Linked DNA regions of Danio rerio. The protein of the gene in region 2 purifies or fractionates together with the protein of the main gene of each other region. This does not show direct contact. Links are inferred from orthologs where the notes say so. Each region holds a gene or a part of one and is shown on either strand. Other genes may lie near its edges.

Region 1 (7,773 bases), on a different chromosome or scaffold from region 2:
AATCGTAATAGTTTTAATAACTCATAATCTCTTATAACTGATTTATTTTCTCTTTGCCATGATGACAGTAAATAATATTAGACTAGATATTCTTCAAGACACTAGTATTCAGCTTAAAGTGACATTTAAAGGCTTCACTAGGGTAATTAGGGTAAAGTTAGGGTAATTAGGCAAGTCATTGTATAACGATGGTTTGTTCTGTACACTATTGAAAATAATATAGCTTAATGGGGCTAATAGTTCTGACCGTAAAATGGTTTTTAAAAAAATGACAACTGCTTTTATTTTAGCTGAAATTAAACAAATCAGACTTTCTCCAAAAGAACAAATATTATAGGAAATACTGTGAACAATTCCTGAATCTGTTCAACATCATGTGGGGAAATATTTGTAAAAGAAGAAAAATCAGAGGGGGACTAATAATTGGGAAATGCTGTGAAAATGTCCTTGCTCATTAAACTACTTGGGAAACCTTTAAAGTAAAAACTTTACAGGAAGGCTAATAACTTTGCTACATGTGTGAACATTTTGAGTGAAGTTGAAGACTTTGAAGTGGATTAAATCTTTGTATCAGTTGAAAAATATTTCCAGTTTTTTTCCAGTTCTAGTAAATGAGAGTGCACTAGTGTACTTTAAAATCCCTGTTGTCAATAGTAATCCAGAAACTGAGAAATTGCACTTCAGAGTTAATTATGAATTATTTAGCATTAAACCGTGTCTGTGTCATTGTTCTCAGCTGCAAGAATGTTAAAACCCATGACAGTGAGCAAATAAATGCACACCCACAGTTTATATTGTCAGCGTGTGTGTGCTGTACAGCACTTTTTACTTTCATTTCTCTGTTTTTACTCTCTCTCAGGACAGACACTACAGTTCTGGGCTGCAGTGGTTTTCATGGAGACTGCCTGACGCTCACCAAAATCATTGAGGCCCGACTGAAGGTGCGTCTCACAGCCTAGAAGGGAAAATGGAAATGCTGTTGTCGTTTTTTCATGAGGGAACATTTTCAGTGTGCTAACAGTATGACACTGAAATGTACAGATATAATGCTTCACTCAACAAAATGAGTTGAGTTTTAGAAATGAACAACCTTTTATTATTTTTCTATAATATTGCTGTGGATAATTTATCTGTAAAATAACAATATAATTTGTCAAATAACAAAGCAAATTTTACAACCAATTAAAAAACAGATAATACAAATAAAGGAAGTATCTTTATTATCATTAGTTATTCTTAGCTTGATTTTTTTTTTACATGCTTTGTTGTTATTATTATTATTATTATTATTATTTAGGAAATATGACAATAAGTTTTCTCTGCACATTTAAAAGGGTGGAAAAAAAAACGTTGCCTCACATACAAAACTGAACAAATCTCCTAATTAAGGGGTGTCCAAACTCAGTCCTGGAGGGCCGGTGTCCTGGAGAGTTTAGCCCCAACCATAATCAAACACACCTGAACAAGCTAGTCAAGCTCATACTAGGTATAATAGAACAGGGGTGTCCAAACTCGTAGGTGTCCTGCATAGTTTAGCTCCAACTTCCTTCAACACACCTGCCTAGAAGTTTCTAGTATACCTAGAAATGGCTTGATCAGCTGCTTCAGGTGTGTTTAATTGGGGTTGGAACTAAAATATGCAGGACACCGGCCCTCCAGGATTGACTTTGGACACCCCTGTACTAGACACTTCCAGGCAGGTGTGTTGAAGCAAGTTGGAACTAAACTCAGCAGGACAGCGGCCCTCCAGGATTGAGTTTGGACACCCCTGTCCTAATTGTTTAAATCGCTTTATCAATGTCATCTTGGCACTTTTTAGGACTCGTCATGTTTGCTGTCATCATTTTAATAATTTCACTAACAAGGTTCATCACTTAAAACATTACCTGCTACAACTTGTTTACAACTTGTTTAACTTGTTTTCATGTTAAGACCTGCTATTCCAACCTCAATACCTTCCAGTGCATTGCATTTGCCCCATGTCAGGTGTGAATATTTTTACAACATTTATTGTTATTGTGCAAAACATTAGCTAAAAGAAACTTGAAAATGTCATTGACTTCCGTAGTATTTGTGTAGTCACACATGTAAATGGACTTCCAGCCAGCTCATGATCCCCACAGAAATATCCACATTTCCTGAGCGGTGTGTTTGACTTTCTGGGCTGCCCTTACAGATGTACAAGCACTCGAATAACAAGAGCATGACGAGTGGAGCCATCGCAGCCATGCTGTCCACCATTCTGTACGGCAGGCGCTTCTTCCCTTACTACGTCTACAACATCATCGGCGGTCTGGATGAGGAGGGTGAGTTCGCTCAGGTCTTCAGGCTTAATTCAGCCATCTAAAGGTCAGGAGCGCATTAAAGGCAGTCTGGCTGACTGAAATATACTTGGCTAAACTGGCAATGAGCTGGTTATAGAGACCAAAACAAAGACATTTTGACAAGTAACCAGGGGGCTATTTCATAAAAGTGGTTAAGAAAAGCCTGACTTCAATGAGCTGAACTAAACGTCCACGCTTAAATTGATTCCATAACGGCAAGTTGAAGATCGTTTGATTTAACTAGTCTGAGTTCAGTTTAAATGATCTAGATAACTGCTCGTGCACATTTCTGTTGTGAAACCTTAAAAGTCGAGCATAGATGCATCGATTACGTTGTGTGCTACCATGGCAACTTAGAGAACTGAAAGAGCTCTGAAATGAGACACAGCTGTTCACAGCGAGTGAGTCACGAAACTGCAGATTGTTTAATAAGCTACAGTAGCTCTATATTTTTAAATATATGCTATTATTTATGCCTATTAACATGAAATTAAATATTTGTTATAAAACATAGTAATTGTGCTTGACCGCGCATGTGCATGAGAGAGAATTTGCGCTTACTGCCAATTGTTGCTTGCAATTAAACGTTTTAATGCATTGCGTTAAATATATTTGTGCATATACATTAGATTATTCAGTACCAATGCAAAGTTTGGAATATATATATATATATATATATATATATATATATATATATATATATATATATATATATATATATATATATATATATATATATATATATATAATTTTTTTTTTTTGCTATTAAGTGACTAAAGTTTTAATCATTATTAAGAGGTTAAGTGAATTTAAATGGCATCAAATTATGTCAGGTGAATGTTAACATTACTTTGATTAAGCTTAAACTTAAGGCTTAGCCTTGGAGTTAGCCTGCCCCGGACCAGGCTAGTTTCCCAGCCTAAGTTGCCAGGGTAACTAAGTTTGAACTATCGTAAATTTGATTTATGAAACCGAATCCGCCATTAATAAACCTGACTTACCAAAAAAAGCCTGGCTTTTTCTGTAAGCTTGGTTGATGGAATAGCCCCCTGCATTTTCAGGTAGATTTATTTATTTATTTTTTTATTAGAATATGCAAAAAGGTACATAAATTGGGATCATACAAATACAAAAAACATCAACAAAAAACCATAACAAAACAACAATAAAAAAAACAATAAAAAAAAAAAAAAAACAATATAGTCAGGTACTGTTAGGTGTGTGTGTGTGTGTGTGTCCATGTAAAGGTAACTTGGTGGAAGGTCAGATTACATACATTAGGAACAATGTTAGCCAATAAATGAATCTAGTCTCGCAGATATAAGTAAAACAGATACAAAAGAAACCAGTCAGAGTTAGGGAGTAACAACTATGCTTAGTAATGTATAATAGAAATAATGACAGTAAAAAGAAAGAAATGACAACAGTAATAATAAATGATAATAAATCACAAGTACTACCCTAACTACTACTACTGCAGAAAGTTACTTATATTACTATATAATTATTAACTACTATTGCTGCTACTACAATCACAACCACAACTATTACTACTATAATGTCTACTACTGCTGATACTACCACAACAATGACTACCACTACTGATACTACAGCGTCTGCTACAACTAATACAACGTCTACTACTACCGCAATCACTGCTACTACAACATCTACATCAACGACATCTACTACTGGTACTACTACACCAACAACGATTACTACTGCTACAACGACACTTTTACTACTTCTGCTACCACTATACCAACGACATCAACTACTACAGGAACTAATACTTCAATAATCACAATTACGATCGATACTACTACAATGACTACTACAACTACTACACCAACAACGACTACTACTACTACTACTGCTACAACGACACCTTTACTACTTCTGCTACCACTATACCAACGACATCAACTACTACAGGAACTACTACTTCAAAATACAATTACAATCAATACTACTACGATGACTACTGCTACAACTACTACTACTACAACAACAACAACAACAATTACTGCAACCTTAATAATGATAATCGTATTAATATTTTCAGGTAGATTAATATTGTGGTATTTGTATACTTTATAAGAGTCACAAACTCACAGCACCTTTAAAAACCCCTCTTCATTACCACAGAAGAACCAATAAACAAGATTACTGTGGTAATGCTAGGAAACTGCATGTTGCATTTTCAAATTTCGGCCATCCCATATTAATGAATACGTTGTCAGTGCAGACACTTGACACTTTTATGATCTTAAGTCTCTCCAAATGGTTGATCAGTTTCGTTTCACTAATGCATGTACACATTTTTCTTGAACACAGAACGGTGTGATTAAATAATCATGTGTTTTGCTTTATTCCAGGTCGAGGTGCTGTTTATAGTTTTGATCCAGTTGGTTCCTACCAGAGGGACACGTATAAAGCAGGTGGATCAGCGAGCGCAATGCTGCAGCCGCTCCTCGACAACCAGGTCAGAGTTCAGATTATCATCATAATATTAAATAGTCCATCTTAAACCCCATTCAGACCAGCAGTTTCTCCCATCACTACCAAACTTAAGTACACATGAAGTCAAAACTAACCATATTAGGAAAAAAACAATAGATTGCCCTTATAGTCTTTAATTGAAATCTGTAAATGCACTTCCTGATTGTTTTTGGGTAAATTCTCAGATTAGGTCTGTCTAATGTGGTGGGCGGGGCTAACACCCTTAACCACGCCCATCCAGCTGTCAGTCAACCAACAGAAACAGTGAGCAGGAGGAGTCTGTTAAGTTGTAATAACTCTCCCCAGACCCTTTTCCCCATCTTCCTGAATGAAACACCTACTTTACTACATCCAATCAGCTCACAGTACAAAAAACAAGCCACGCCCACTGTCTTCTCATTTATTATGCCGTTTCTCTCACAAAAGAAATGGTTACAGATTCCAGTTCACGAGGACTTTAATAGAAACCAACCATTAACTAAGTTGTTTGTTGTGCTCAGATCGGCTTCAAGAACATGGAGAACGTGGAGCATGTTCCTCTGACCCAGGAGAAGGCAGTGCAGCTGGTGAAGGACGTGTTTATTTCTGCTGCCGAGAGAGACGTGTACACCGGAGACGCCCTCAAAGTCTGCATCGTCTCCAAAGAGGGCATTAAAGAAGAGATCGTGCCGCTCAGGAAAGACTGAGACGCCTTCTCTGCACGCCAACGTTAGCCTCTTTTTGTTTCGCTCCAGATGCATCTTTCATTCTGCTCTCCTTTTTATATTCTGTCTCGAGAATAAATACCATACTGGTGTCAACATTGTGTAGTGTTCAGAGTGGTTTGTCCATTTGACAACCTCAGGTTGAGTGAAAACATCGCATCTGGATTGTGTTAAAATGTCTACGCTGTAAAAAATGCAGAGCTCCACACTAACCGATTAAGTGAAAGCAACAAATCTGAAGTAGATTGAACTTAAATTAAGTGGTCAAAAAATAAAATCTCAAGATTTGTGTAGTTTTGACACATTTTAAGTTATTTAAAAACATTTTTTATTTTAGATGGATAGACATGGAAAATGGGCCTAATCAGGTTTTTAGCTTCGATTTCAAAACTCTTACAATTATTATTTAAGTAAAAACCTCACTGTATAGTATATGCTCAAATTTACACTTAAATACTTGTATAATTTTATTGAAATATTCAAAACATATACCAGCAGAACATCATTAGCTTTGAAGACCTATTTTTTGAAGATCATTTTTACCTGTTACAGTGTTCAGACGGCAGAGAGACACCACGTTGACGTTGTGATGCCAAAATCATTGTAATACAAACGATAACATTAAAAAAACGCATGTATCGGCCACTTAAATGTTGTGGCCATTTATTGGCCAATATCAATATGGGTACCAATATAGGCAGATGTTATTATGGTGACCTACTCTATATGCAGTGTTGGGGAAAAAGTAATATATTACAATCTGTAGTATGTATTTATATATATATATATATATATATATATATATATATATATATATATATATATATATATATATATATATATATATATATATATATATTAAGGGTGTCATGATTTCAATTTTTAATCAAAATCGATCGAAATTTATCGTCAACTTCAATTATCGAATCAAAAAATAGAATCGTCGATGCTGCAACGCCCCCATGTAACGTCAGCTTGGCTTGCCAAGCGGGAAAAAACAGGCTTGTTGAAGTGCTTGTTAAACTGCAGAAGCAGGAGACCCGTCGACAGAGCTTAAACCCTCTCCTCTTTCAATGAAGTCACCGGTGTGGAAGTATTTTGGATTTTCAGTTAGTTATGTTGACAACGTTCGTGTTGTCAACAAAAAAAAAAAAAAAACAGTTTGCAAGCTCTGCCATGTACGTATTACGGTTGGGATAATAGACGATGGGCGCATTGCGATCCATACACGAAAACACGAAACTCAGGCCCTGTTTACACTAACATGTCTTTGTTTTTAAATGGCATTTTAGAACGACAACAATCCACATCCACACTGGCGTGTAGCATTTCTGAGCAGCCCTCCTTCCTCACTACCGCTGAAAACGCACATCACGTGACCACACACACACACTCATTCACACACAGACACATTGTCATGCGCTCGAGACAGCGGGTCAAGGCAGTCAGCGGTTCAGTAGACTGCTTCCATCTTTTACTTTCACACAAGTACTTGGTCATTTTAGCGAACACCTCAGATACTGTTGGCTGGTTCCTGTCTTTCTGGAATGATATTGTTAAGGAGACAGCCAAAATGTGATACAATTAAAACAACTTGACCTCAAAGTTGTACTCTTGGTCTTTGTGTTCAACTATTAATCAGCTAACAGTCAGAATAATAGAAATTCATGTTTTGATTTTATTATTAAAGATCAATAATAACTTCACCATAGCACTGAAGGCCTTCACTTTGGGCATAAGAACCCATTTCACCAGTGCTAGCAAAGCAAAGTCACAACTACATCCAGTGTTATAAAGCATCATAACACTTGTCTGTAAAAAAACTAATCAACTCGAATACAATTGCAGATTTACTTAAGGGATAGTTCACCCCAAAATTAAAATTGTCATCCTTGTTTCAAACCTTTGAGCTTATTAACTTATTAAACACAAGGGAAGATATTCTGAAAAACATTGACTTCCATAGTACTTGTTATTCCTACTATGGAAGTCAATGGTTACAGGTTTCCAACATTAATGGAAATATCTTCTTTTGTTTCCGATAAAAGATAATAAAAGTTTGAAAACCACACAAGGAAGAATAAATAGTGAGTACATTATATTTTGGGGTGAACTGTCCCTTTAAGACACACACGTTCATGTAAACAGTCATCAGATATTCCAGTCTGTTGGAGAATAAAAGTGATGTACTGTTGGCTCAGACAGTGTTGAGTTTGGTGACTATGAGCACTCGTACAGACTGG
Region 2 (8,212 bases):
TCTATTTCATCTTCTGAATTGGCAATCTTTGCCCTCAAATTTTTTGTCTCATCTCTCTTTACCTTTCGACTGTTATTCAGTGCTTCATCTATTCGTTTAGCCTTCATCTCTAAAAAACTCTTATTCCATTTTAAGGTGCCTCATTTTGAAGCGTCATAAAGAAGTTTTGCATGTTTAGCATGCCCTGGGATTGAATCTCTTAAAGTTTAATGTACCAAGCATGCTCTGAAACTCTTTCAATTCCTTTCATTTATTTTCCATATTCTGTGGCTGGGATCATTCAGGACCAGTTCTTTGAAGTTCTCTCAACACCAAGCAGTTTTCATTTTCTTTACCCTGAATCCATTTTTAGGCTTTTTTTATTAGATCTCAGACTCCAGATGCTGTTTGCTTCTAGTTATATATAGTCATAGTTATATATAGTTATATATAGCTTCTAGTCAGATATAACTTTATCCTCTGTGCCCAGATTCTGTTTAATTGTGTATATACACTATCTCCTACTTTTTTTGAAAGAGCATCTGCCTTTTCAGCTGTTGGAACTCTGTCATTTAGAAAAGTCCAGCAATCAATTACCTCCTCATCCCAATCTTTTCCTGATTTATTTATTTATTTTTCCGCGAATCATGCCTTTGCTTCTTTGGTCATTATTTCAGCTCTGCCACTGCTAGCTGGTTGGTGTTGTAATGATTTGATCAGTTTTTCAGCTTCACTTTTCAGACAGTTTTCTGCTTCATTACTTGTAATGATGTGTTGTCCACTTTCACCCTATTCAGCTTTCCTCTGCATTTGACAATTCTTCTTAGTCTGAGGTGTAAGAGATTCTGCATAATCCATGCTTATTTCATCATTTTCCTGATCTGTTTTTATTCATATTTATATTAACATGAGTCCATTGCTTTTCTGCAATTTTGACTTTTATCCTTTGATATTCTGTCTGTAAGTTTTCTATGTTTAGTCCTGAAGCGTGACAATAGAGTGCTCAAGTACTTTTGTGTACTTGTAATATTTTGAGGTGTTTCTATTCATTCTTTGTGACTATAAGACTGTCATCTTTATAAATCACAATAGGTCGCCCTTTAAGAACCTCCATCATTATAGCTTGAAAAGCATTTGGAGAGTTCGAAAATCGAAAATTAATTATACCGCTTATTAACAAATGTAAATGCGAGGTTGCCTCTCAGGCACAAAATCCAAATATTTTTGATAATATTTTTCTTCTGGGGCTGCTCCTGGAGCATCTCTTGCATTAATCGGGTATCTTGTATCTAGTATTGTTGGTTTATTTTGTTACCAACCTCCACCCTCCATCTGGTTTTGCAAACACTTGTATAAGGAATTTTGTTGGTGCATTATCAAGTTCCTCTATTTATCTTTCAGCTTTAATTCCTGTATTTGTTTTCTTTCCCTTTTATTAATAGGGTATTGTCTATAGTGGGGTGGTGCAATGGCACAGTTTGATCACATTCCTATTTATGAAAATTTTTTGCAGTCATTTTCTACTATGTGCTTGATTTATATTTTTTCTCCTAAGTTCTCTCTGACTTTATTAGTGTTGGCTTTAATTGTTTCGGCCATTCTCTTTAGTTCCTCCTCCTGGTTTACTTTTTAATCAATAACCAGCCTATTTCTCTACTTTTTAATATTGTGCTGGCAGCTTTCAGTTTACTAACACCTTTTGTGATCTGTAAACGTTTTCCTTTTCTACATAACCTCTGAAGTCTTTAATATTGAAAGCTGTTTAAGTTTCTTTGGCTTTTTTAGGCAAGTGAATTACCACCAGTTAAAGATTATTCCATCATAATATATTAAGGTTGTTTTACTTGGAGGCAGGCACCCCTAGTCCTCTTGAGATTTGGGTGACTCTGTTACTGTTAACAACGTTCTTGTTGCTTTTAACTGCTTTAGTTTTAGACTCTTTCTTTGAGTTTCTCTTGTCTATGATTTCTAGTCTCTGTTCTGGGGTCAGTTTTGCCCATTCCTCTTTAGAGACAGAGTCATTCTCTCCAGATTTTTGTTTGAAATCCGTTTATTTGTATTTACTTTTATTCTTCCTTGTGACCTGAGGCTTTTGGCTCTGGTGTTTTATATTCAGCTATTAGTCTTTGCAGTTTTTCAGTAATTATCTTTTTTTTTCTTTCTCATCTAATGGCAAAGTTCATTTCCCCCATGATGTTTGCGGCCCTAAAAGTTTTAGTCTGATAATCCAGGCACTAAATCTGTCACCTCTTGAACTTCCCTTATCTGTGCATACACTGAATTCAGTCTCCCGTCTGTCTAAGCAGTATGGGTAAACTCCTATTTATTTTATTGTTTCAGCCCTTTCCGCCCCTCATCTTGAAGGGCTTTACCTAGTATTGTCCCTAGCTGCAGCCTTATCTTCTTCTTGGTATGATCATTGCCTTAATTCGTCATCAGCTTTGTACAGTTCACCTATTCTGATCATTCGTGAGTTTTGTCTGTAACCGATGCCCCTGGGGAGAATGTTGTTTATGTTAACAGGTACGGAGCCCTGTTGCTTAACTCACTGACCCCCTGAGATTATCTTATTTTTGTACTCATCCCCAGCATCACTTATTTACGGACTGAGTGCTCCTCTTCAGCACAGCAGTTAGTTTCAGAGCTTGGCTCACTGGAGACTCATTCGGCAGCGGGGTCTCATGTTTCTTTTTTGCCTTTGTTATCTTCTGCTGTCCTCTTACCTCTGGTGAGCTTTCTCTAGCAAAATAATGTCCTTATTTTCCCTAGTTTTGGGTCTTGTTTGCTTGATGAATCTTCATCCATTAATCCTGGCCAAGTCATTCCACTGATCATCGCTTGTAATCCTTCTGCCAAATCACAGATCATATCTAGTTTGGCCTTCTGATTTATATCAGTTCATTTTTATTTTTCGTCTGCTGTACAAGATGAAGCTAGATATGTCATATCAGCATTCTCTTTGTTTCTGCCCTCCACCTTCTTTAGGTGAACTTTGAACCCAGGTGGGACAGTGGCATCCCCAGAACATCTTAGGATTTGCCAGAAGAGGCCATGCTGAATCTTGGGGTGGCACACACACAAAAAATCAGTGTAATGTTGTATTTATGTTTCTGGTAAATGAAATAATGTGGTTTTAATTCATTTTAATTAATTATTCTTGAAATATTGCAATTTATTTCTTGAAATAATTCAGCAAGTACATGCACAAACCAAATAAAAGTCAATATTTATATATATATAAAACTTTTCAGTTATTTTTTACAGTCTTTTATTGTACAGTATATGCCATGTCTAAAATTAATGAATAATTTAATAAAACAAACAAATGATGAACAAACTGAACAAAAGACATTACTACATACACACACACCCACTATACAGATTAATAATATCATTTATCCATATTCCTTTTTGAGCCACAATATTATTAATACAGCTTCCTCTATTGATGTACCTTAAGTTAAATATGAAATTGCCATTGCTGACTATTGAAGGTGTGTGCGGGCTGTCAATGAAGATCGAGAGGGGGAATAGCAGTGAATCTGCTACGCCAGTGGCACCAATCAATCCACAATAATTTAGTGGCTGCTATTTATTTATTTATTTATTTATCTATTTAAGTACTTTAATAATGTCAACAGCAAAATCATATTGTGTTTACACTGTGGTGGCTGTGGTGGTGCCCCTGAGGTGGGAGACGATTTCTTTGAGTCCCTGTGTAGCATTTTGTGTACAGAGTGGCCTACGAACTCTAAGTGAGTGTTGAAGTTGGCTTCTGCTGATGAAACTACAAACTATCTTCAGCAAACTTTCTTTTTAACTGAATCTCTAACTCCGGTTCTTCTTCATCAGACAGACTTTTCATTTTTGGGTTAAAACTGTTGGTTCCCCTTATAATTCTGAAACTGCACTGCTGGGGTTATCTTACAAGCCATGAAAATAAAAACAAAAAGACAAACGGACTGAAGCCATGACTTGGCGTGTGTGTGTGTGTGTGTGTGTGTGTGTGTGTGTGTGTGTGTGTGTGTGTGTGTATGTGTTCAGGCTGGTGGATCACATGTCAGCAGTAGCAGCAGTGTGATGGAGCAGCATGTGCAGGAGTGTGTGGATCAGGATCTGCTGGAGCGTGTGGATCAGCAGCAGGAGTGTGTGGATCTTCAGCAGGACTGTATGGATCAGCAGCAGCAGCAGCAGGAGTGTGTGTGTGCTGCGGCTCCTCCCCTGCTCTGCTGTGAGGCTGAAGACGGTCTCCTCCCTCTCGCTCTGGAGCGGCTGCTAGACTCCTCCACCTGCAGAAGCCCCTCCGACTGCCTAATGCTGGCGCTACACCTGCTGCTGCTGGAGACCGGCTTCATCCCACAGGTGATATCCACTTCACCTGGGCTATGTTCTTTCTATCCTAAAGGGAAAGTTCACCCAAGAATGAAAATGTCCTCTGTATTTACTCTCTCCTTCTCGCTTCAGGGCGGAGCCGTGAGCTCAGGGGAGATGCCGATTGGCTGGCAGGCCGCAGGGGGTGTGTTTAGAATCCAGTATGTCCACCCTCTGCTGGAGAACAGCCTGGTGTCGGTGGTGGCCGTGCCCATGGTTCAAACTCTGGTCATAAATGGTAATATACACCGTATGTAACACTGATATGTTCAATTTAAGTGTATTTGTAAAGTGTTTTTTACTATTATTATCATTCCAAAGCAGCTTTACAAAGGGTGCACATCATTACATGACAGTCGACATTAGAACAGTGAAGTGACTTAGTTTTTACAGCTAAGATTTCTTTTATTTAATGTTTTTTATCCTGTAAAAATGCTTTTCCTAGATTTTGTTGTCTCGTTTCTAGTCCAGAGATGTCGAAATTCTTAAATCAAGAAGCATTTTCTAGACAAGCCAAAAATATAGTGGTGTTTTCTGAAGTAATGAGTGAAAATTTCTTTAAAACAAGCAGAATAATCTGCCGATGGGGGAATAAAACAATCTTGTTTTTGCTTTTGATCAGCCGTCCTGAAGATGGAGACGAGTTTGGAGAATTCCCGCAAACTGCTGCTCAAACCTGACGAGTATGTGACAGCTGAGTGGACAGGTGAAGCTCACACACACACACACACACACACACACACACACACACACACACACACACACACACACACACACGCATTAATCATCTGTAAAAGCACAGCAGGATTATGGACTGAATGACCTGCCATGTGTGTGTGCAGGCGGCAGCTCAGGTGTGGTCTACAGAGATCTGCGCAGACTCTCTCGCCTGGTCAGAGATCAGCTGGTGTATCCGCTCATGGCCACTGCCAGACAGGGTGAGTGTGTGTTTACTGTTCACACGTGTGTGTCAGAGTGCTTTGTGTGCATGTACTGTTCACACGGGTTTGTCAAAGTGTTTAATAAATGTCTTTGTGCATGTGTGTATAGCTCTGGGTCTGCCTCTGCTCTTCGGTCTGCCTGTTCTTCCTCCTGAGCTGCTGCTGCGTTTGCTGCGTCTGCTGGACGTTCGATCTCTCGTCTCGCTGTCGGCTGTGTGTCGGCACCTGAACACCGCCACCCATGATGCTTCACTCTGGAGACACCTGCTGCACAGAGACTTTAGGGGTAAATGCGCAAATATACACTTTAGGATGCACGATATGTCTGTGGCCATATCAATATCGGCTGACAAATGCTAGTTTTTTTTAAAGGTTTAGTTCATGCAAAAATTGTAATCAATCATTATATACTCTCCCTCGAGTGTTTCCTAACCTTTGACTTTCTTTACTCTGTTGAACACGAAAGAAAATATTTAGGAGAATGCTGAAAACCTGTTACCATTGATTTGTGTAGGAGGATAAACAAATGCTGCGTCCTAATTCGCATACTAAAACAGTATTTAAAAAAATAATTAGTGTATATAGTGAATATTAAAGATCAATAATAATGTTTATTAATATTCTGAATTAACTTATAGTTAATTTGACTAAATAAATATAACAATGATTTTGCCCGCTCGTCTGAGCAGACTGTAATTATTTATTTATTTAGAAAGGGAATTATAAGTATTTGTCAGGGCCGGATTGGCCAATCAGGAGGACCGGGAGAGTTTCCGGTGGGCCGGTCCGTTTTTTGGCCGCGAGGGCTGGTGTTTCTAGCTGCTTGCACTCTCAGCAGTTGCACTTTTTTTTTCATTTATATATTTATTGAACAAAGCCTCACTCTTTTTATTCATTATTTTGCCGCAGCTCCGGTTATTTATTGTCTCACAGCCCCATGAGCAAAATGCAGCCTGCATGTAATGATGATGTAATTATTATTCCGGCTAAATTATTATTATTATTTTTTTTTTTTTTTTTTTTTTTTTTTTCATTTTTATTGTTGAGACATATCAAACTGTACGGTTGTTGAACATTTAAAGTTCTAAAGCAGCTGTTTTCTTGAAAAAGACATGATAGCATAATTAGAAACTGAATTGGAAATGACCTTATATTAATATAGTCAGTCGTGAACTGAGGTGGGCCGGTCTGCTTGAAACTCCAGGGCTGAAAAGGAGTCCCACTCCAGCCCTGCTACATGTGATGTAGATGAATAGTTTAGACGTTTTGGTAAACTGTAAACTTGTTTTAGTAAAGCTTGTAGCAAACGCTCTGTCGTTAAATTGACCTTTTCTGTGAGGCAAAACAAAGACAACATGGTTATAGCCTGATTTATTGACTAGTCTAACATATCAAAACAAACGTACAAAACATAACAACAAAAACATATAAAAGAAGCAAGCGAGCAAATAAAGAGTTTAGATAAAAGAATGGCAAATCTAGTTCAGTTCCACACAACTGTTAAAGACTCCTAAACCCTTCTGCTCCAATGTCTGGGAGAAAATGGGTTTTAACTATGGGTCAAGTCACACCTATTTTCTACTGAGTGACCAGTGGTTTCAGGGCAAGGATTTGAGCGTTTGACCGTTGATATGCATAATGAGGGTCGTCCCTGAGCATACAGCTGGACCTTACCTCTGAGCATTAAAGAATGCAAGCTGTAAAAGTTATTGTCATATGGTTGTAAAATAGCAGGAGAAACGTAATGCTACTAAACACGACACTCTAAACGCACATCAGATAGCATCTAGGCATTTCTATACTATATAAGATCAAAAGGGACTTCATTAACGCATGCATATACTATTTTAATTACTTTAGCTTTAGGGCAGAGCATATAGATTACAAACACACATTACATTTCTTTTGGAGTGAGTTTTTGAGTTCTAATCGTTCTTTCAGTTGTGTGTGTCTTTGGGTGGGTGTGTGTGTGTGTGTGGGGTGTTGGAACAGTTGCAGGTTTTCCTTTGGAATGTCTTGGCTTGCAAAGATGCACCAAAGGGACACAAGTTTCTCCCTTCTCCCCATCTGTAATATAGATTAAACAGCAGCAATGGGTCCCCAGTTTCCCTTATGCATCCCAGGTTAAACGAGGTGTCATGCACAGCGACCTTTGTCTCTAGACTTTCTGGAGCCTTTAATCATGAATCTCTCACCGATAAGAAATATGGTATTTAGGGGTAATCCAGTTCTTCAACTGTGACCCATATGCAACAGTAGCATGTGCAAAAGTGTATGCCGACGGTTCCTTGTGGTTGTACTATTTCAAGTAGAAATTTGAAGTGTAGAACCCTTTATTTAAAATTATCGATAGCCCCACATGTAATTTGCGCACACAGAAATCCTTTAAGGCCATAATTTATTCATTTGCTTGTGTAAATGTGTTTACATTAATTGTAGTAATTTTATTGAATAATATTGAATGTTTATGATTCATCTACAACACAGTGACTAATGTAAAGTTTTCTGTCTCTCAGTAGATATATTATGAGAATAAGATTGTTTACCAAAGAAGTGGTTGTACTTGGATTTTGATTGTAAATCTTAAATGTTGTCATTTTAATTATGTTACAGTTTCAGCTACTTTTCTGTCAAATCATTCTTCATAAATCTGCAGCCTTTGTACAAAATTCTGCACAGAAATAGCAAAAACATGTACACAATGTGGTAAATGGTTACTGTATCAGTCAAACATTGAACATTTGTGCATCCCTAATAAACACACACACACACACACACACACACACACATATCTGTGTAGCAGAATTAGACACGGTGTGCAGGAGTGACTGAGTGTTGTTCTTTTGTGTTGTCTTGTAGTGAGTTTTCCGGCTGGTCATCAGCACAGAGACACAGACTGGAGAGAGGTAAGACACACACAC

Evidence for each region.
Region 1: the proteins of fbxo7 (region 2) and psmb1 purify together in Homo sapiens (affinity purification with mass spectrometry; 3 studies listed by BioGRID and IntAct, counting the BioPlex papers as one, with this or other methods). This does not show direct contact. The link is inferred for Danio rerio from reciprocal best matches to the Homo sapiens genes FBXO7 and PSMB1.

The regions. Positions count from the first base shown.
Region 1 is NC_133188.1:1,046,709-1,054,481, reverse strand, and holds the end of psmb1 (proteasome subunit beta type-1), read left to right. Parts: intron 1-859; coding exon 860-941; intron 942-2,176; coding exon 2,177-2,306; intron 2,307-4,702; coding exon 4,703-4,809; intron 4,810-5,326; coding exon 5,327-5,512; 3' UTR 5,513-5,630; downstream 5,631-7,773. Other genes in the region: dnaaf10 (dynein axonemal assembly factor 10), read right to left, coding at 7,728-7,773. UniProt on the Homo sapiens protein: Non-catalytic component of the 20S core proteasome complex involved in the proteolytic degradation of most intracellular proteins. This complex plays numerous essential roles within the cell by associating with different regulatory particles.
Region 2 is NC_133179.1:945,168-953,379, forward strand, and holds part of fbxo7 (F-box only protein 7), read left to right. Parts: intron 1-4,023; coding exon 4,024-4,341; intron 4,342-4,443; coding exon 4,444-4,588; intron 4,589-4,972; coding exon 4,973-5,056; intron 5,057-5,192; coding exon 5,193-5,288; intron 5,289-5,400; coding exon 5,401-5,577; intron 5,578-8,150; coding exon 8,151-8,197; exon of another isoform or gene 8,198-8,212. UniProt on the Homo sapiens protein: Substrate recognition component of a SCF (SKP1-CUL1-F-box protein) E3 ubiquitin-protein ligase complex which mediates the ubiquitination and subsequent proteasomal degradation of target proteins and plays a role in several biological processes such as cell cycle, cell proliferation, or maintenance of chromosome stability.